4 linked regions of the Caenorhabditis elegans genome follow. The protein of the gene in region 1 interacts with the protein of each later gene in a pairwise test. Each region holds a gene or a part of one and is shown in the gene's direction. Other genes may lie near its edges. The genes, in order: R06F6.8, zyg-8, rps-27A and M01E5.2.

The links.
Region 2: the proteins of R06F6.8 (region 1) and zyg-8 interact in a two-hybrid assay, tested with the Caenorhabditis elegans proteins (one large-scale study listed by BioGRID).
Region 3: the proteins of R06F6.8 (region 1) and rps-27A interact in a two-hybrid assay, tested with the Caenorhabditis elegans proteins (one large-scale study listed by BioGRID).
Region 4: the proteins of R06F6.8 (region 1) and M01E5.2 interact in a two-hybrid assay, tested with the Caenorhabditis elegans proteins (one large-scale study listed by BioGRID).

What each region holds. Positions count from the first base shown.
Region 1 is NC_003280.10:10,813,941-10,821,648, reverse strand, and holds the start of R06F6.8 (Guanine nucleotide exchange factor subunit R06F6.8), read left to right. Parts: upstream 1-1,670; 5' UTR 1,671-1,699; coding exon 1,700-1,711; intron 1,712-1,763; coding exon 1,764-1,904; intron 1,905-1,953; coding exon 1,954-2,064; intron 2,065-2,114; coding exon 2,115-2,576; intron 2,577-2,630; coding exon 2,631-2,722; intron 2,723-2,802; coding exon 2,803-3,340; intron 3,341-3,467; coding exon 3,468-3,760; intron 3,761-3,856; coding exon 3,857-4,148; intron 4,149-4,746; coding exon 4,747-5,729; intron 5,730-6,123; coding exon 6,124-6,349; intron 6,350-6,398; coding exon 6,399-6,516; intron 6,517-6,564; coding exon 6,565-6,697; intron 6,698-7,332; coding exon 7,333-7,708. Other genes in the region: ech-4 (Delta(3),Delta(2)-enoyl-CoA isomerase), read right to left, coding at 1-516, 565-617. UniProt on the Caenorhabditis elegans protein: Probable component of a guanine nucleotide exchange factor (GEF) that may be required for efficient fusion of endosome-derived vesicles with the Golgi.
Region 2 is NC_003281.10:12,060,183-12,064,758, forward strand, and holds the start of zyg-8 (Serine/threonine-protein kinase zyg-8), read left to right. Parts: upstream 1-1,530; 5' UTR 1,531-1,556; coding exon 1,557-1,743; intron 1,744-2,742; coding exon 2,743-3,649; intron 3,650-4,576. UniProt on the Caenorhabditis elegans protein: Probable kinase. Kinase activity may be involved in positioning of spindle poles in meiosis and mitosis. Plays a role in spindle positioning during asymmetric division of one-cell stage embryos.
Region 3 is NC_003281.10:3,066,583-3,069,746, forward strand, and holds rps-27A (Ubiquitin-like protein 1), read left to right. Parts: upstream 1-1,734; 5' UTR 1,735-1,752; coding exon 1,753-1,885; intron 1,886-1,903; exon of another isoform or gene 1,904-1,980; intron 1,981-1,991; coding exon 1,992-2,161; intron 2,162-2,223; exon of another isoform or gene 2,224-2,301; intron 2,302-2,390; coding exon 2,391-2,579; 3' UTR 2,580-2,628; downstream 2,629-3,164.
Region 4 is NC_003279.8:13,276,447-13,282,159, reverse strand, and holds M01E5.2 (Mitochondrial ribosome-associated GTPase 2), read left to right. Parts: upstream 1-1,984; 5' UTR 1,985-2,003; coding exon 2,004-2,247; intron 2,248-2,999; coding exon 3,000-3,069; intron 3,070-3,122; coding exon 3,123-3,234; intron 3,235-3,284; coding exon 3,285-3,392; intron 3,393-3,658; coding exon 3,659-3,729; intron 3,730-3,792; coding exon 3,793-3,990; intron 3,991-4,240; coding exon 4,241-4,514; 3' UTR 4,515-5,192; downstream 5,193-5,713. Other genes in the region: M01E5.3 (RNase NYN domain-containing protein), read left to right, coding at 421-491.

The sequences.
Region 1 (7,708 bases):
AAATCGTTTCCAGCGCAGTAATATGATCCATTGGCAGTAATCACAGTGATTGAGGTGCTCTTGTCATTGTTGGAGACCTCCAGTGCCTTTTGAATTCCTTGATACATTTCCAATGTCAATGCGTTGAACTTCTTTGGTCTATTCAATGCGATTTTGAACACTTTTCCCTCGCGAGTCACACTTAAACCGTCAACGTTCTCAAGTCCTTCGATTGATGGCCCAGTTGGTTCTGGAGCAGCAGAAGCTTCTTCGGAAATGAGTCCACCGACCAGTTTAGCATAGTTGGCGCGAGCTTCATCCTGAGTTTGTCCCTTCAAAGTATTCCAGGCATCATACTTGGCTCTTCCAACGAAATCCATCATTCCCGGGCGTTTTCCTTGCACATCCCCAGCGGTGGCTTGTTTGAAAAGCCCGTAGAGCTGCAGTTTCACGTCATTGTCCGGCTCTTCCTTCAGAGTTTTCAGATTTTTCTGCGCCTTCTCGAAGTCAGCCTGGGCAGAGAACGAGCGAACGGAACTGAAATTGAAGATTTATTCACAAATTAGATGATTTTTGCAGACTTACACTTGCGGATTGTAGAGAACACTTCTAGCGGCGAGGGTGAGATTTCGAAGCATTCTGAAATGAATTAAAATTGATTTTTTAAACGTTATAATTAATTTTTTCGGGGAAAAGAGAAAAAAAGAAAGAAAATGGACAACGTGAAGAAAAGAACAAGGTACACGGAGGGGCCGGGTAAATGATAAGAACGGCCGCCGTCTTTTTGTTGTTTTGAATGAACTGGCTACACACAAGAATACACATTGTAATGTGTAGCTGGACAATCGCTACTATACGCAAGACAATAGTGGAGCAATTATAAATGGGATAAATAATAGATTCAGGAAAATTTGGAGTTTCAATTTTTTTAAAAGAGAGCTCAAATTGTATAGATAACCTGGAAATTAAGATTTTAATATTAGAAAAAACAGTGAAAATCAAATTATAATCCCTAGGAGTCCTAGGAGAAATCCCCTCCTAGGAGAAATCAGAAAACTGATAAATAAAATCAATAAAATTTGCAGACAAAGGACGTTCACGGCCAAGGGTGTCAGTGTCCTGTAAAAATTACAAAAACGGGACAACGGGAATTCTCGTTCCCGTGAAAATTTTAAAAACGGGACAACAGAATTCCCGTTCCCGTGAAAACACCCCAAAAACGGGACAACGGGACAAACGGGACACGGGAATTGACACCCTTGTTCACGGCAACTACAAAATGCACAATACTTTGTCTACAGTACTCTGATTCAATTGTTTTGTTGTTTTTTTTTGTTAATTCTTTTTTTTTTGGTGTTAATTTTATTATTTAAATATGAATTTGTTATTTTTCGAGTGAAATCATTTTCATCCACGCAATCCTGAACGCCTGAAATTTTTGAAAAGTCTGCGTCTCTGCCCTCTAACGCGTGGCAACCGAGCGCGATTGCTCTTGAAAAATATTCACAGCTGGAGGCCTTTTTATTCTGTTTGAAACGTTTTTGCGTTCCAAATACAAAATAAAATCAATCTCCTAATTTTTAAATCAAGATGTCGAATTGAATCTGCTAAAAATTGAACGCGCTTCTTTATTACTGAGCTTTTAATCGCAAAAAACCGTTTTCCCCCGAATAATTAATATTTTTCAACAGAATACAACATTTGATGGATCTGGCATAGAATGTTCATACCTGTAAGTTTCCTTTAGAATTTTTTTAATAAAAAATAATTTTTGAAAATTCCAGAATGACAGGCCATCGGTTCTCCAGCTTCCGAAGCATGAAAAGGATTCGACTGCCGCCGATATCAAGTCAATTGTGGCAAATCGAGATCGAAGATTGATAGCAGTCGCAACAAATGATGCGATTTACATTTGGCTGGCAAATGTTAGTGCTGAAAACTAATAAAAATCTGATTAAAAAAACATAAATTCAGCCCCAACTGCTCCTGTGCTCCGTCGGGGTTATCGATGCCAATTTCAAAGAAACACGTGGAGAATTAAAAGAAATTTACTGGAAACCTGACTCAACAAGTATAGCTGTAACGGTAATATTTAAATTTTACAGTTCTTTCTTTGAAAATATTATATTTTTCAGACAAATCAATGCAAAATTTTAATCTATAATCTAGATTTGCGAGACGATGAACAATGCTACAATTTCACAGACTCTGCGGATCCATATTTCCAACGAAACTCACCGGAACTTTTTATAAAAGGATCTCGACCGACAGCTCATCTTCATCCAACAATAATCATAAATCTGGCTGATATACCAACATGTTGTGTTCCTTCTCGTGATGAATTTCTTGTTTGCCTTCAAAATGGATTCACTCATCATGTCACTTGGACTGGAGAGATTATTGCAAGCCTCTCATTCCGTGCCAGTTCAATTCCGTTCTCCGTGGATCAACTTCAGTCGAAATCTGAAAATATTACTTCAAAATCCACGTATATCTTTGACGCCGTGTATGCTCCACTTCTCGGAGGATTTGCGATTGTACTTTCCGATGGTCAAGGTGCTCTATTGACGTCGAATGATCCGAATTTTGCACCTAATGTGAGATTTTTATCATGAAAAATTAAAAAAAAAACCCATTTTTTATTATTCCAGGCAATTCTGGGAGTGTGGGCTCCGAATATGAAAGATGCCACGTGTTGCGATGTGAATCACAAGTTCCTTCTGATTCTTTTTGGATGTAAAAAGTGAGTTTTTTCAGATTTTTCAGATTTTAATTTTCAAAAATCAAACGCACAGTTTTCTTTTTAATCTAAACTATTTCCAGCGGCGACGTTTGTGCCTATAACATCGATGAACTAAATGGCTCACTCGTTCAATCGTTCCGAGTTGCTCCAAAAGTAACAAATGGTCCTGACTTGACGAATCGACTGGGTCCGGTTCACCGAATAACAGCCCTCGCGAATGGATACGGATTCGGTGCAATTTGGTCTCCACTATCCGGAGCTCATGCTCTTCCTCGGCTCGTCGCAGTTTTCACTTCATTCGGAGCTCAATCATTTTGCAATCTGGAAGGTGTCGTCGAAGAAGATCAAAATGATAGATACACGGCTATTGAATGGGGTCCAGAAGGTTTCCAACTGTGGCTTGGAACTGAAAATGAGCTTATGATGCAACCATTCGTGAGGAGTGCTTCATGTTCAAGCCCGGCAATGGAACATTGTGATAGAGCTGTATTGATGAGTGACTCGCAGGTTTTGATCAGTGCTGCAAGGGATCGAGAAGCAGAAGCTTGTGCACCGCATTCTGTATGGGATCATATTACAGTTACACATGAATATCTATCATCTAATTGGCCACTGAGAGTGAGTTTTTTAAAAGTAAAAACTAAAAGCATAAATTTGGTAAAACCATGAGGTAGGCATGTAGGCACGTAGGTATTTTCCGATAGAGTTTATTAAAATAAAATGTTAAAATTTAATATGTTTTCAGTATGCATCAACTGATCGAAACTATAAACATCTCGTCGTGGCCGGTGATCAAGGAATGGCATATTGTTCATTATCCAATCGACGTTGGAAGATTTTTGGAAATGAGACTCAAGAGAAGAATCTCTTGGTCACTGGAGGTGTCTTTATTTGGAATGATGACGTCATTGGAGTTGTTGGAGTTGCTGCGGATACTGACAAGTCCCATCTCTCATTTTATCCAATTTCTCAGAGACTTGACAGTCGATATGCGTCGGTTGTGGATTTGGAGCATAAATCGGTCATGTCCGTGTTACGGTAAGAAATATTCAATCTTGGAAATGAACTCTCATTATCAGTTTTTTTGGAATTATTCTAGATTCAGTGACATTAATATTTTCCCAATTTTTCCAGCGACGACGTTTGTGCAGTATTCGATATATCGGCTCAAATTACGCTTTATAAGCTCACGGCTCACTTGGAAACTGGACGAGATGCTTTTACAAAAGTCTCCACTGAAATTGTGACTGTTATTCGAATCAACGAAATTGTTCCACATCCAACATGTATTGTATCTCTTCAAATGACACAGCTGAATCTGGATGTACGGGGGAAGTTGTCACCTGCATTTTATTCAAGTATCGATACTGTGCTGGTTAATATTTCGGGAAGATTGATCACTTTGAGTGTTAATGAGGATGGAAAGGTTTGTACGGAAAATTAAAATTGCATGGTTTCTGAGTTTCCAGAATTTTGCAAAATTTGATGAATATTTAGAATTTTTGGAATTTTTAAATTTTATATTCTTGTCCAATTTTTGGTATTTCAGAAATTTTTAAAACATTCTGAATTTTTTGAATTTTCAGAACTTCTAGAGTTTTCGAATTTTTGGGTTTTCTGGAATTTAAAAAAAATTAAAATATTTTGGAATTGAATTTTTTGTTTCGAAATTTAATAATTTTCAATTTTTAGAAATTTCAAAATTTTTCCGTTCCTAGATTTTTCAACATTTTGAATTTCAGTATTTTTAAAACATGAAAAATTTTTCCTTTTTCCTAAATACTCGGTTAACTCGGTTAAACTAATTTTTTTCAATTTTCAGAATTTTTCAATTTTGGAATTTTGCAAAATTCAGTTTCTTTTTAATTTTCGGATTTTTTAAAGTTTTGAATTTGTGAAATGATTCAAATTTAGACTATTTGAATTTTCTGGAATTTTGGAAGTTTTGGGATTTCTGAAATGTTTGGTTTTTAAATTAGAAATTTTTGGAATTCGGAAATACAATATTAAAATAAAATTTACAGCTCCATCAACCCATGGTAATCGCGTCATACGTGGAAAAAATGTGGCATGACCGTTGTCAAGTCTCCCAATCAACCCAGTCTCAAAATCAAGATCTTCCATGGAAGAACCATCGGCGAAATGGATCAAATGTTTCAATCCAAAGTGTTTCCACATCAACAACTTCAGAACCATCATCTCCAATGAATCAATCATGTTCTTCACATTTGAGTAATGCTTTATGGATTGCTTGTGGTGCAAAAGGAATCAAAGTTTGGATGCCGTTGGTGCCAGGAAAACGAAATTTAGCCACACAGGAAATGACGTTTATCGCGAAACGAATAATGCTTCCATTTGAACTTGATATCTATCCAATTGTGATTAGTGCCAAAGATTGTCTTGCAATGGGTGTCGAGAGTCAACTACAACATGTTGCAAGAGCTTCAAGAAATCAAGGACAAATGGAAAGTATCACTATGTATGGACTTCATCGCAATAGTGAAGTATTTGTGCATCACCTGCTCCGACAACTTTTGAAGCGAAATCTTGGAGTTTTTGCTTTGGAGCTCGCCGGAGCCTGTCGTTCTCTTCCACATTTCACGCATGCTCTTGAGCTTTTGCTCCATGGAGTCCTTGAAGAAGAAGCTACAAGTAGTGAACCAATTCCAGATCCTCTTCTCCCAAGATGTGTAGCTTTTATTCACGAATTTCCAGAATTTCTGAAAACCGTAGCACATTGTGCACGAAAAACTGAATTGGCACTTTGGAGAACGTTATTTGATGTCACAGGATCTCCAAATGCACTATTCGAAGAATGTCTACAACTGAAACAACTCGAAAATGCTGCAAGTTTCGTGATTGTCCTGCAAAATCTTGAAACCACCGAAGTGAGTATGGATCAAGCAGCGAGACTTGTGAAGGAAGCATTAGAAGAGAAAAAATGGACGATTGCGAAGGAAATGGTCAGATTTGCAAGATCTATTGGTTCGGAGGATATTGATGCATTGTAAGAATTAATGAATTCATTAATAGAGAAATTAAAAAAGAATGCCTCCAAAAAGAGAACGCACGGAAAAAAGATTCCCAGAATACATGTGCCCTACATCCGTAACTCTCCTTTTATCAAGCGAGGTATTCAGAATCAAGGTCACCGTTGTTATCGTATCCGTTTCACGCTACGATCCACAGAATCGGCACCCACTTTGAAAAATAATTAAATGTGTTCAGAAATAGAATAATGACCGAAACTAAGTTGAATTCGCAACAACGAATTATTAGATACCGTAATCCACACATTTGCATTTGAAAAATTGGCCGTGTCGAGACCGGCTACCGTAGTTTTTAAGCAAACAAAAATAAAATTTGATAATAACTTTGCAATTGTTTTAATTTTTAAAAAGTTTCAGAACACCTCCACCAAGTGCCAAGACTTCTCTATCCCGCCGACCTACAGTATCCTCACCGTCCGCTGATTCTTCCACTGAATTCGTGATTAATAGATTTCAAGCGGGAGCTGCTGGAGGAAGATTAAATAAAGTTCGACATTCACAGAGTACTGAGCAAAAAGATGCACCGAGAAAAGATTCGATTGGCGGAAGTTCAAAGGATAAAATGGCGTTGTCTTGGGTTTGTGTGTTTTACTGGAAATTTTTATTTTTATAAAATCTAATTTCAGGGCCTATCTGGTGAACTTTCTCCACAATTGGCTACGAATCGACTCGCCGCAAAAATGACATCAATTCTAGAAGATCACGCGTGGCATTTGCTGAATAATTATTGGCTTCTAGATCTTGGTAATTGGAAAAAAAAATTCAGGACAATTTGGATTCAATTTTTTTCAGGATTCTTCTGGTCCGAACTTCAATTCGATTTGCTCGGTCTTTTGGAGACGCGACGGAAACAAATTTCTCTTTCACCGAAAACTACAAACGAAAATTGCTTTTTGATTGAAGATTTTGCCTTGGCACTTACAAGGTAAATTGGGATTCTTCCACTGAAAATGTAATAATTCAGAAATTTAAAAATAAACTTAAATTTTCGAGTTTTCCAGTTTTTTCGAGAATCTGAAAATCGAAAAAAAAACTTGAAATTTAATACTAAAAAATTTAAATTTTTAATTATTCCGATTTTTCGTGTTTTTCAGAAAAATGATACATTATACGGAAAAAAAATTTTTGATTTTAAATTTCCCGTTTTTTTTTTAATTTTTAAATTCTCGGAAAAATTGGAAAACTCGAAAATTTAAGTTTATTTTTAAATTTCTGAATTGTTACATTTTCTGTAAAAAATAATAATTAAAGAAAAAACACGAAACATTTTTTGGGGGAATTTTTAAAATCTAAAATTATTGGAAAAAAATGCAAATTTTATCTTTCAAAAAAAAAAAACTGAAATTTTGAAAATCGAAAAATTAAAAAAAATTTTAAGCGTTGTAAAAATATATGAGAAAAACCCAGAAGCTAAATATTAACCAGAAAAATGTAAATTTTGATGAGAAAAAATTATTGAAAAACTATCGGAAATTTTGAATATTCCTTCGATTTTGTCGATTTTCAATAAAAATTGGGAATATTTTTAATATAAAAAACTCTAATTTCAAAAATTTTCAGACTCCATGCTCAATTCTCGTGGCCATATCCTCTCATCGGTTCTCAATTCGTGCATCAAATTGAGAAGAAGCTTGGAAATATTCGTGTCAGCCAGAGTACTGCAAGCTTGAATGGACTACTAAATGACTCATTGGATAATATAAAGAAGCCTAAAGCCAGAAAATTGGAAAGGACTGTAGTTGATTTAAATGGAGCTAGATCGAGAATTCGTGAAACGGATATTGAAGCTAGCGAAGAAGACGTTGAGATTCAAGAAGCCGTGCTGGAAAGAGTACGTGGAAGTGCTGTGGAACTGGCACCAGTAATCGATAGATCCCCATCGACATCTTCTTCAATGAATCATCATGCTCCATTGGCTCCACCGTCACCTTCATCC
Region 2 (4,576 bases), on another chromosome or scaffold:
CTCTGTGGTCCCTCCGGATACCCCCTAACTAATCCCTCGTCTATTCCGTCCCCCGGCTCTGCGTTGGCTCGCGCGCGCCCCTCCCGTCAGCCAAATCAACCCACAACAACACCCGTCTGCCCTTTAGCTCTTTCGAATGAGAGGAAAACGAGAAGCAGCTCACTGCTCACTGCTCTCTGTGTGCACGCCTAGTTAATTCCCACATTCGACATTCCATGCATTTTGGAGACCAATGCTCGCGGACAGCTCATTTTGGACAATGATTCGAATTGTCAGCTAGTCATAGCATAGTAAAATTATCTCCTTTTTTTTGGTGTCACGTGGCGTCTCATTTCGGTTTGATCTACCTAGATCTACAAAAAATGCGGCAGAGTTCTCAACTGATTTCGCATGGTTAAGAACGTGCTGACGTCACATTTCTTTGGGCGAAAAATTCCCGCATTTTTTGTAGATCAATCCGTTATGGGACAGCCTGATGGAAATTTTGCTTCAAAAATCTTTAAAAAATCGAAAAAAAAAATTTCTCAGAAAATTTGAATTTCCCGCCAAAATTATTTTAAGAGAAAATTTGAATCCTCGCCAAAACAAATTCGAAAAAATAAAAAAAAATTTCCCGCCAAATTTTTTTTTCGGAAAATTTGAATTTCCCGCCAAAATAGATATTTTCCGAAAATTTGAATTTCCCGCCAAAAAAAAATTAAAAAAATTTTGAATTTCCCGCCTAAATAGGTTTTTTTTCTCGAAAAAAAATTGAATTTTCCGACGAAATAGTTGTTTCACAGAAAATTTGAATCTCCCGCCAAAATAGATATTTTCTCCGAAAATTTGAATTCCCGCCAAAAAATTCTAAAATTTTTAAATTTCCCGCCAAATTTTTTTTCGGAAAATTTGAATCCCCGACAAAAATTTTTTTTCCCAGAAAACTTTAATTTTGCTCAGAAAATCTCAAAAAAATTTGAATTTTCCACTTTTTTTTCAGAAAAAAAAATTGTTTTTCTAAAATAACAAAAAAAAAGATTAATTCCCGTCTATAGCACTTGCACCATACCCGATTGGAATTGTCCTCCTCGATTTTTAGTTCATTTTCTGTCCAATCTTTTGATTTTGCATTCCTTTCTCTTTTTCATATCCAAGGCCCATTCCGGTTTGATCTACAAAAAATGCGGGAGAAAAGACACAAATTTCTCAATTGATTTCGCATGGTTAAGAACGTGCTGACGTCACATTTTTTGGGCCAAAAATTCCCGCATTTTTGGTAGATCAAACCGTAATGGGACGGCCTGTTGCCACGTGGTATATCCCCACGTGGTGTCAGGCAGTCTCATTGCGGTTTGATCTACAAAAAATGCGGGAACTTTCCCCCAGGAAAATGTGACGTCAGTACACTCTCATTCGATGCTAAATCAGCTGAGAAATCTGCGTCTCATCTCCCGCATTTTTGGTAGATCAAACCGTAATGGGACGGCCTGACACCGCTCCGTCCTCCTCTCGTGGTTGCGCCTAACTATCGCTAATTTGGTGTTTTTTTTCGGTGTTAGACTATCTCTACTCGAACGATGCCACAAACGTCGGCGTGGCAGCTCAACGACACAACTGCTAGACCACCACCACCACCACCACCACCTGGATCTGAAGCTGGAGGATCGGATGGAGCATCTATGAATGGAGCCAACACATTGCCACGTGTATCGAAGAGGGTTTCCGCTGCTGGAAAAACGTCGAATATTCCACGATTCAAACGACGTAAGAATTGAGTGTTTGGCTTGAATTTCCCCGTTGGTGGCTTGCTTGCTTCAGCTTACGGGATATGGTTTTTTTTAATGATGAATCCGTGAATTTTGCAACAAAAAAGCAGCGTCGCACAGAAAAAGAGGCGGAGCGTAATTTTGCAACCCTGCGGCACGGTTTTTTCTCCTTTTTTTCTGAATTTTTTTTTTCGATTAATTTCATTTTTTTTACAACCATGAAATATCCTCACAATCTAATAATAAGTAAATTGGGTAATACTTTCATTCGAAAAAAGACAAATAAAAAATAGAGAAAAAACCGTGCCGCAAGGTTGCGAAATTACGAAATTACACTCCGCCTCTTTTTCGGTGCGATGCTGCTTTTTTGCAAAATTCACGGATAGATTGTTTAATTTCAATAGTACTGAGTTGAAAACTTGAAAAAAGAGACATTTTTATTTGTAAAAAGCTATTAAAAAATGATTAATACCGTCAGACTGTTGAAAACGATTTTTCCGGCAAATCGACAAATTGCCGGATTTGCCGGAAAAAAATGGCCCCTAAATTTTCCGGCAAATCGGAAAGTTGCCGGATTTTAAATTTTCCGCAAATTGGCCGATTTGCCGGAAAAAGCGGCCCCTAAAATTTTCGATTTTTCTATTTTCCGAAATTCAGAAAATTACCCATAAGATATGATTTTTTAAAAATCTAATTTTGTTTATATATTCATGATAAAGAACATCTAAAAATAAGAACAATGATCAAAGTTTAAGCGAATTTTTAAAAAATCGAAAAAATTTCGAAATATCGATTTTTCGATTTTCAAAAATCGAAAAAACCGACACCCTTGATCGTTATCACTATTCGAAAATAATTGAATCTAAAGAATCGAGATCCTGTAAATCTACACTACAGTAGTCATATAAAGAATTACTGTAGTTTTCTTTTCGCTACGAGATATTTTGCGCGTTAAATATTTTTTTGTGTTCCCGTGTAATATAATCCTAATTTCCAGCCCATCTCCCTCATTCGACACGTCCTCTCTCCGCAGTCTTGACATCATCATCATCTCCAGTTGTTCATAGAAAGATCAGTCCATCATCATCTGCTCCATCAACATCCTCCGCACATCGTCGATTCTCGCATCTTCCTCAACAACACTTCCACCATCATATTCATCACAATCAGACCGCAGTGATCAGTGAAGAAACACTGACAACTCCACGAGCATCGACTCTTAATCTCAATCAGACAAGCGTCTTCCCAACGGCAATTTCCCAGGGAAGCATGCCGAATAGTGGCACGAACACTGCGGAAGCGTCAATGACGTCATCCGTATGTGCCATGGAAACCGAGGGAACGAATGGAGATGAGCTCGCAGAGTCCAGGGATATGGTCTCAGAAATGCAGCGGAGGTGTCGAATCGGGCCATCCGGGTATCCGCATTTACTGAAAGCCAAGCGACTCCGGTTCTATAGAAATGGGGATCAATATTTCAAAGGGATTCAGTATGCTTTACAAAGTGACCGGGTGAAGAGTATGCAACCACTTATGGAAGATTTGATGAAAACTGTAATCTGTGACTCGACGGCTCTTCCACACGGAATCCGTCACATTTTCACGATCGACGGCGCTCAACGCATCACTTCCGTAGATCAATTCGAAGACGGCGGTGGTTATGTGTGTTCGAGTACCGACGCTTTCAAACCGGTCGATTATTCGAGAGCCGCCGAGCCAAGTTGGCGTCTGACACTTGCCAATCGATACAATCGACACTTGGAGACGAAGAAGCTGGCGTTGAGTGTCGTAGAGCCGTGTCATGAGAATACGGATTTCGTGTTTCCACGAATTATCAAGGTTATTCGGAATGGGGTGAAGCCAAGGCGGATTAGTAGGCATTTGTTGAACAAGAAGACGGCGAGGTGAGAGCAAAAAATCGCCCCGACCAATCAGCGATTCGCTCCGCCGCCCACTTTCCAACCAATCAGGCGACGTGGGTGGAGTTCGAAGGTGTTGATTGGTCGGGTGAAGTCTCATTTTGAAGGGAATTCAAAAATGATTGTTTTTTTCGCGTTTTTCCTATTTTCCTAAGGAAAAAAAAATTATTTTTCAACCAAAAAAAGTGGCGGCGATTCAAAATTTTGAATGAAAAAGACAAAAAATTCAAAAAAAAAATATGCGAAAGAACGAAAAATTCGAATTTTTCTGCGACCAATCAGCAATTCGCTCCGCCCATTTTTCGCCCAATCAGGTGAGGTGGGCGGAGTTTGAAGATGCCTAAACGAGAACTCCCGCCCACTTCTTCAGATTGGTTCAAAAGTGGGCGGAGCTAATCGCTGATTGGTCGCAGATTTTTTTTGAATTTTTTGTCTTTTTTCTTAAAAATGTTGAACCGTCGCAACTTACAAAAAAAAAATTTTTTTTCATTACGAAAATAGGAAAAAAGCGAAAAAAACAATCAATTTTGAATTCCCTCCAAAATGAAACTTTACCCGACCAATCAGCGCCTTCGAAACCCCCCCCCCCCCCCCCCCCCCACTTCATCTGATTGGTTGAAAAATGGGCGGAGCAAATCGCTGATTGGTCGCAGTGGGAATTTGTCTAAAATTGGAAAAAATCGGTGTTTTTTGTTTTTTTTTCGAATTTTTTCCCAAAAAAAACACAAAAACCCAATTTACACTGCGACCAATCAGCGATTAGCTCCGCCCACTTTCCAACCAATCAGATGGAGTGGGCGGAGTTCGAAGGCGCTGATTGGTTGGTGAAAATTCGGTTATATTCCCTCCAAAAAGAGAACTCCCCGCCCACTTCATCTGATTGGTTGAAAAATGGGCGCGGAGCTAATCGCT
Region 3 (3,164 bases), on another chromosome or scaffold:
ATTTTAAGCAGTTTCTGTGTGAAATTTGTGTAGATAACAGTATATGAATCACTTATTTCGTATTTCTGTAGCTTTTCCACAAGTTAATTGTGATCTACGCGATATTTTTACACAGAAACTACTTAATATGATGACTAAACGCGCGGCAAGACCATTCTGTATAAATGAGCCTCCCTTTAAAATGTTAAAAGTGGAAAAATAAATGTACTGTAACTCGGCGGAGAGCACCGATCAAAAAAATTTTCAATTAGCGAATTATAGCACTTAAAATTTCCTATATTTTGTTAGTTGGAAACTTTTTGATATCTCCTCTTCTCACTGAGATACAAGCGCTCAAAGTTAGAGGCGCTAGAGAGTGTGGGAGGGGGAGAGACGCAGACGGCACGCGCTGTCTGCGTCTCTCCTCCTTCCACACTATTTCTCTGCGAAAATCTTTAACCGTCAGTATCTCCAAATCGGTGAGAGCTATCAAAAAATTTTCAACTATCAATATACTTCATTTTTAATATTCTACAAAAATCGCCAGGCGGAATTTTCAAAAACTTTGAACAATTCCTGGAAAAAGGTAAATTATTGATTTTTTACGAATTTCTCAACTTTCCAGACCTTAAACTCAATGTTAAACTACTCTTCAAATATAAAATGCATGAAAATTCCATTGTTTTTTGCTCAGAAGCCACTTTGAAATAGTCCCAAGGGTGCCCAAGAAATGGGTGACATTCGTCCATTTGTCCATAACAATTGCACATATATATTTGGTGTTCAGTGGGGATTTTTTTGGAGAATTTCAGAAGGAAATTTGAAAAAAAAAGCATTCTTTTTCCTTTCCGAAACGGCCAAAAGTCGGGAAAAAAAGAGCAATTAGGCTCGAGAGCACCCATAAACAATTGCATGAGTTAATTGAGAATTCGGAGCACGGCGTCGAATCGATTCGAGCTCACTCACGCGAGCGACGGGGAGCACAGCACACCACTGAGAATATTACATTTCTCGTTGTCTGGGAGGGTGGCTCGGAGCAATTCAAGACGACTCGACGCGGGGAAAACCGAAAAACAAGGGACAACATTTTTTCTTCCAGATTTTTGAGATTATAACTGAAAAAACAAGGGTTTTCGGCACATTTTTTCTGAAAAATTCCCAAATTCTAGCTTGAATTTTGAATTTTTTAGTGAATTTTAAACATTTGCCGTGAAAAACCATTCGGAAATCTTTCCATTTTCAGGTTTTTCACCTTTTTAACCACTGTAAATCTCAATATCCAAGTGGCTTTTTGTGGAGAAATTGTAAAATTCAATGAAGTTTCATCTGGAATTTGAACGTTTTCACTCGATTTTTACCATTTTTTCACCAAAAACCACCTGAAACTGGAGCTTTTTCGTTCAATTTTCAAATTTTTAACATTTTGTCATCATTTTCCACTTCTGAAACCTGAAAATCTGAAAATTCACATCCGAAAACCTCGAAATTCGCTTGAAATTTTTTTTAAGCCGCGCAATTTTAATGCAAGCGCGCCCCACCGCACTACTTAGAAGTGCAGGTTATACGGTAGGCGGGGGATTTTAGGACGACTTTCTCTATTTTTCAACACTTTTTCGATTTTATTCTCGCGTTTTGGCCTAAATTTTCTGATTTTTTTTTGGTTTTTGCTGTTAAAATTGATCGATTTTCCTATCTTGTCCAATTTTTCTCTATTGAATCCCCTTTTTTCTCTCAATTTATTGTTGTTTTTTGCAGAACTAGGGTCAGTCAAGCATGGTCTTCGTTAAGACACTCCACAGAACCTTGTTCCTCGAGGTCGCCGCCAACGAGGATGTCTTGAGCATCAAGCAAAAAATCGAGGCCGCCGAGGGAATTCCAGCCGAAGAGCAGAGACTCTGCTACGCCGGTTCGTTTCGTTTCACGCAGAATCTCGAGAAGCGATTTCCTGACACTCGTCGGGTCGCTTTGAGGACAGACCCTGCCGTACACATTCTTGATTTTTACCTGTTAAGGACGTCAGCTCGAGGATAGCGATTGCGGAATCGACTCTGAGGCCACCATCTACGTCAACCTTGAGCTTCTCGGAGGAGCCAAGAAGAGAAAGAAGAAGGTCTACACCACCCCAAAGAAGAACAAGAGAAAGCCAAAGAAGGTCAAGCTCGCCGTCCTTAAGTACTACAAGGTAAGCAGAGTTTCGAATTCGTGAGAAATATCTTGCTCCAGCTCTGCCTAAAAAGTTTGAAACGATGATGATGAAGAATTTTTGATATGGTGTCAGGACCTCTGAGAGTTCCGTGATGATGTTTAGAGTTCCTGAATCTTTTCAAATCTTCTAGGCAGATTAGCAGAGTAGATATTTTCTGATAACCAATTTTCATATTTTACTGGCCATTATTATCATATATTTCCAGATCGACGAGAACGGCAAGATCACCCGTCTTCGCAAGGAGTGCCAACAACCATCATGCGGAGGAGGAGTCTTCATGGCTCAACACGCCAACAGACACTACTGCGGAAGATGCCACGACACCCTCGTCGTTGACACCGCCACTGCCGCTGCCACCTCTGGCGAGAAGGGAGGAAAGAAGGGAAAGAAGTAGACTGTTGTCCAATTTTTAACCTTCAATCAAAATAAATGTTGATTTTTGATATTCTTGCTATATGTTCTTCGGGAGAAAAGTTTATTCGTAACACATCGGAGGAATTATTTGTTTCAGAATTTGAATATTCTCCAGAAAATAATTAACCAATGACTTAATTATGATGTCATAACTTTGGAAAAAAACAAGATCTCACGTGTCCGCCTTCTCAAATAGCAAGAGATGCCCGGTCATGACCAGGATACCCTTGAATTGAGGATTGAATTCCCGCCAAATTCCTAGGATTTTTCGTTCAAAATGTCTTTTCTGAACGCTAAACCTCTCGTTGTTGCATTTTTCGCGTAAAAAGCTAGAAATCGGCCAAAAGCAGTGAAATTTTGCATAAAGCTGGATATTTGCTCAAAAAGCTAAAAAATCACCTCAAAAAGCTCAAAATTCCGTTTAAAAAGCTGGTATTTGGCTCAAAATATCCAACATTTCTCTGAAAAAAGCTGGGAATTAACTTAAAACGCTCAAAAATTCCGCTTTCAAAGCTGAAAATTCCGCTTAAATTGCTAAAATTCGGCTTTATAAGCTGGAAATTGG
Region 4 (5,713 bases), on another chromosome or scaffold:
CACCAAAAAATGAAACAAAAAATCAATTTTTTTACAAAAACCGAAAAATTGTAATTTTAGACAAATAAAAACCAAAAAAGAAACAATTTTCTACCAGAAACTTTTAGAAAACCAATTTTCGACATAAACTCCGAGAAAAACCAATTTTTGATTTACAAAAAAAAAAACCCGAAAATGCCAATTTCTTACTAAAACTAAAAATAAATAAATAAAAATCCCATTAAAAACTTTTTAAAAACAAATAATCAAAAAAAAAACCAATTTTCGAGAAAACAAACCCGAAAATATCAATTTCTTACAAAAAACCCATAAAAAAATTTTTAAAACAAAATTTAAAAAAATTTCGGTTAAAAAATGTATGCCAAAATTTTAAAAAAATCTAAATTGATTAAAAAAAATAATATCTCTCCAATTTTGCAGACGATGAAGTGATGGAAGTAGGAGGAGTCGACGGACAATTCATGATGGATGGCCGAGCAGTTATGGAATAGTTTTCCCTCGTCCACGGCCACAATCACCTCTTCATTCAACAACTAATCTTTCTCACTAATATATTCTTGATTTTCCCCAAATAATCCCATTTTCTTCTTCATCTCCATTGAATTTTCACGTATCCGGGTAGTATTTAGGATATCATTTCGTTTCAAACCAGTCCCCCCACCACTTTTTTTTTTTTGAAATCTGAAATATTCAGATTTCCCCTGTTATTATTTAATACTGTCACAGTCATTTCTGTACCTTTTTTGAAGTTTTCGCACTGAAAATTTTCCAATTTTTCATTAAAAATAGCCCAATGTGTCGTCGTTTGTGCCTTTTCGGTCCTCCTGTTTTTCTCGAAAAAAAACCCGCTTTTTAAAAACTTTTCTTCATATACTAAAACTTTCAGTAATCCCAGTGTGTGTTCTCTCTTATTCATTTTTTCCCACCAATTTTCATACAAATTTGAAATTGTACAGAATTTTCCCTTTTTTCCTTTTAATTCTTAATGCTAAAATCACTTAATTTTACCCAAAAATAATTTACCATGTCTTCTCTAATTCCCTGTCTCTCTCTCTCTCTCGCTTGATTCACAGTTTGACGTACTCCGCCGAACAATTTCGCTTCTTTTTTTGTTGAAATGTTTTTTTTTCACACCTACATAGCCTATAAGCTCCAATTATTGTGTCTCTCAGCGGCTTATTTGATATATTGTCCACAATATTTCTCGTGTTCCTTCTCCTTCTCGCTGACTTGGAGATTTTGTTTTTCCAATGAAAATGTATTTTAAATTACTTTCAAACGAATTTTTTCAAAACAGTAAAATTTTCGATGGTTTTCCATATTTTTCCCAGAAAAATCGCTAATTTTGATGAGCATTTGAATTGCCGCGCGCTCATTCTTAAGCTCCGCCCATTTTTCCGTGCCGCATTTTCCAGGTTCGGCGCTAATTTTTCGATTAATTTCTTTATTTTCTAGTGAAAAAAAAGGATTTTTGTGGAAAAATTTCAGCCAAAATCCGAAATTTTCTATTTTTTCGGTTTTTTTCGGAGAAAATCAAAAAAAAAAATTATTTAAAAAAATAGTCGAAAAATGTCTTCAAAAGTTGAAAAAACATTAAAAATTAAAATTTTTCCAATTAAAAAAAAACCAAAAAAGTTTCGTTTCTCGCCATTCCGAAAATTTCGAAAAGTGCGGCACGGAAAAGTGGGCGGAGCTTAGAGACAATAAAATTTTATTGATTTGTTCATTTTTTTCATGGATTTTACATTAAAATTCAGTTATAAAATAAAAATAAAAATAAACAAAAAAAATGTCTTCAAACGCTGCAAAAATTTTTTTTCGCCTTTCTGAAAATTTCAACAAAATTCAAAGTGCTGCACGGAAAAATAGGCGGGGCTTAGAGACAACTTTTTGAAAAAATTATTGATTTTTTCATTTTTATATAGATTTTACATCAAAATTCATTTATAAAATTGAAAAAAAATTCTGCAAAATTAAATTTTAGAAAAAATTACTGGAAAAAAATGCGAATTTCCCTGCAAAAATGCTCCAAAACCGCGTGCTCCGTCCTATCAAAACGTCCAATTTTATCGCCGAAAAAGCCGAAATCCGAAGGAGAAGCCACTTCATTTATTGATTATCGACGTGTTAGATGTCAGGCTGGAAATGGTGGAAATGGAATGGTTTCATTTTTTCGTGGATATCGGAAACCATTTGGTGGTCCAGATGGTGGTGATGGTGGACATGGGGGACATGTCGTTTTTCGAGGTACTTATTGCATGCTGAATTATTGGAAAAGCACGAAAAAATCAATTTTTTCAACGAAAAACTCAACCAACTTGGGTCTCGCCACGAAAAAAACTTTTCAGCTACAGTAACCGCAATTTTTGGGATTTCCTTGATTTTTTACATAGTCCAAACTTGTTAAAATTTGAAATAAAAATCAAAAGTGAGTTAGAAAAAAAATAAGCGGGTACGGTAGCTGATTTTCGTGGTGGGACCCGAGACTGTGAAAAATTGATTTTTCAGCAAAAATTTAATAGAACACCGGTGAGCATTCAAGAAAATTGTGAAATTTGGTTTTTTTTCATACGAAAAAAAAAAAATTCAAAAATGGAAATACGTTTTAGTCGTAAATTTTTCATTTTTGAGTGAAATTTTACAATTTTTTAACTCTAAAATTCTGCGGAAACCGATATTTTAACACATTTTCACCTAAAATTTCAAGATTTTCCACTAAAAAGTAGTCTTTTTAACAGTTGAAGTGAATTTTCACAGTTTTTTGATTAATCTTCCGTAAATTACGTTCCATGGTAAAATTTTATAAAATAATAATGAAAAATTGAAAAATGTATAGAAAATTCAATTTTCAGTCAAGCTTTCTGATTTTTAATATAAATTTATTTCAAATTTAGCGCGAAAACTTTGCGATTTATTGAGAAAAATTTAAACTTAGAAAAAAAAAGTTTTTAAAAATTAATTTTAAAGCTACAAATTCTAAAAAAAAATCAAATTTTCAGCCAGTCGCAGTAGTAAAGATCTCTCGACAGTTCACTCAATCGTACGGGCTCAAAATGGAGAATTCGGCAGGTATCCGGCTACCACAAAAAAATCGTAAAAAATCTAATTTCTACATTTTCCAGATCAAAATCATGTCACGGAAAATCAGCAGACCATAAAGAAGTTGAAGTACCTCTTGGTACCGTATTCAAAGCTGATGGGAACACAATTTTTGAGTTAAACAACGAAAATGATGTGAGATTCTCTCGATGGAGCGTACTTACAACATTCAACACTTTTTTTAGATGTTCATTGCGGCACGTGGCGGAGTTGGAGGACGTGGAAATCAGTTTTATGTGTCGAATGAGGTCCGAAAACCATTTAAAGCAGAGTATGGAGGAGAAGGAGAAGAGGTTTTGTTCATATCTCTTTTAATTTCAGTTTGTAGTCGATTTGGAGTTAAAATTCGGAATGAGCGTAAAATTTTGGATCGTAATGATGTGCGACATGACCAGAATAGGCCGGGCCTGCTTTGTGCCTACTTCATGCCTACAGCCTGCCTACCCGTAGGCACAAAGTAGGCATCGGGCATGTCGCACATCGATCCGGGCCTAAATTTTGCGCTGATCCCGAACATGCACTCCGAATTGGGCGAAAAATTCAAATAAAATTTTTTCAGCTAATTTACGACGTGGAAATGCGAGTTATGGCGACAGCAGGCCTGGTTGGATTCCCGAATGCTGGAAAATCGTGAGTTTTTCTGGAAATTTCATATAATTTTCGCGACGAGACCAAAATGTGCTCAATTTTCAGTTCGCTGCTCCGTGCAATTTCCCGAGCCAAACCGAAAGTCGCCTCGTACCCATTTACAACGCTCCACCCGCATATTGGTGTTGTATTCTATGAGGATTTCGAGCAAATCGCGGTTGCCGATATTCCAGGGCTCATTGAGGATTCTCATTTGAACAAAGGGCTCGGAATCTCTTTTTTGAAGCATATCGAACGATGCGAGTAAGGGAACATTCACTGTGTCGATTTACGCAGATCGTGTAGTCCTCGAGGATAAGATTTAGGCTGAAAAACTAGATTTTAGCCTATTTTGGCTCAAGTTCAAGTTCAACAGTAAATTAAACATGTACCAATTCTAATAGTTAAAAAAAAACTGTGAAATCTTTTCCTCGTGGAGTACACGAGCTGAGTAAATCTACAAATGGTCGTGTTCTTCTTCCATGCTAAAAGGTTAAACATATCGTGTTTTCAGATCCCTGTGGTACGTATTGGACTATTCCACTGGATCACTGACAGATCAATACAAAATGCTCCGCGTTGAACTGGAAGGATATCAAAAAGGGCTTGGAGATCGAGCATCAACAATTGTAATCAATAAGATTGATTTATCAGGGAAGAGCCCGGAGGAAGAAGCTCACCACCTCTCTTCACTCTTCCCGAATCTCCCTGTATTTCCTGTTTCTGCACAACAACGGATAGGATTGGAGCCTCTATTAGAGCATCTTAGAGAACAATATGATAAATGATTTAGTTAGATTTTTAATAAATAATTTTATTTTCCGTTGACCTTGAATCCAATTAAACTCAAGTCGCCGTCTCGCAAGAGCCCGATGCGTAGACTTCTTTTTAGTGAACTGCCAGAGTCACTATTTTTAGTGAACTGCCAGAGTCACTTATTTTAGTGAACTGCCAGAGCCACTTATTTTAGTGAACTGCCAGAGCCACTTATTTTAGTGAACTGCCAGAGCCACTTATTTTAGTGAACTGCCAGAGTCACTTATTTTAGTGAACTGCCAGAGCCACTTATTTTAGTGAACTGCCAGAGCCACTTATTTTAGAACAATCTATTTTTCGTGAAACAATCTATTTTTTCGTGTAACAATCTATTTTTTCGTGTAACAATCTATTTTTTCGTGTAACAATCTATTTTTTCGTGTAACAATCTATTTTTTCGTGTAACAATCTATTTTTTCGTGTAACAATCTATTTTTTCGTGTAACAATCTATTTTATCGTGTAACAATCTATTTTTTCGTGTAACAATCTATTTTTTCGTGTAACAATCTATTTTTTCGTGTAACAATCTATTTTTTCGTGTAACAATCTATTTTTTCGTGTAACAATCTATTTTTTCGTGTAACAATCTATTTTTTCGTGTAACAATCTATTTTTTCGTGTAACAATCTATTTTTTCGTGTAACAATCTATTTTTTCGTGTAACAATCTAAATTAGAAAATTCATCTACCGTTCTAAATTGGAAACTTCATCTACCGTTCTAAATTGGAATATATTTTGGAATATATTCTGGAATATATTCTGGAATATACAAGGAAAACCTGGAATCTTCTAGAAAAGTCTGGGAACTTCTAGAAACTTCTGGAAAATTCTGGAAAAAAAATTAAAAAGTTTTAGAGAAACTCAGAATCTTCTGGAAAAATTTAGAAGCTTCTAGACTTTTCTAGGAAAACCGGGAAAATTTTATAAAACTCTAGAATCTGCTAGAACTTTCTAGAAAAATCTGAAGACATCTAGAAACTTCTGAAAACTTCTGGAAAAATCCTAAAATTGCTAGAACGTTTTAGAAAATTCTGGAGACATTAAAAAAAAATTGGAAACTTCATGATTTTCTTAACAGGAAGAATTTCGCCAGGAAAAGGTGTAACTGCGCAAAAGGCACAAAAAGCAATTAGAGAGTTATTGAAACAATTTGTGTAAGCCATTATTT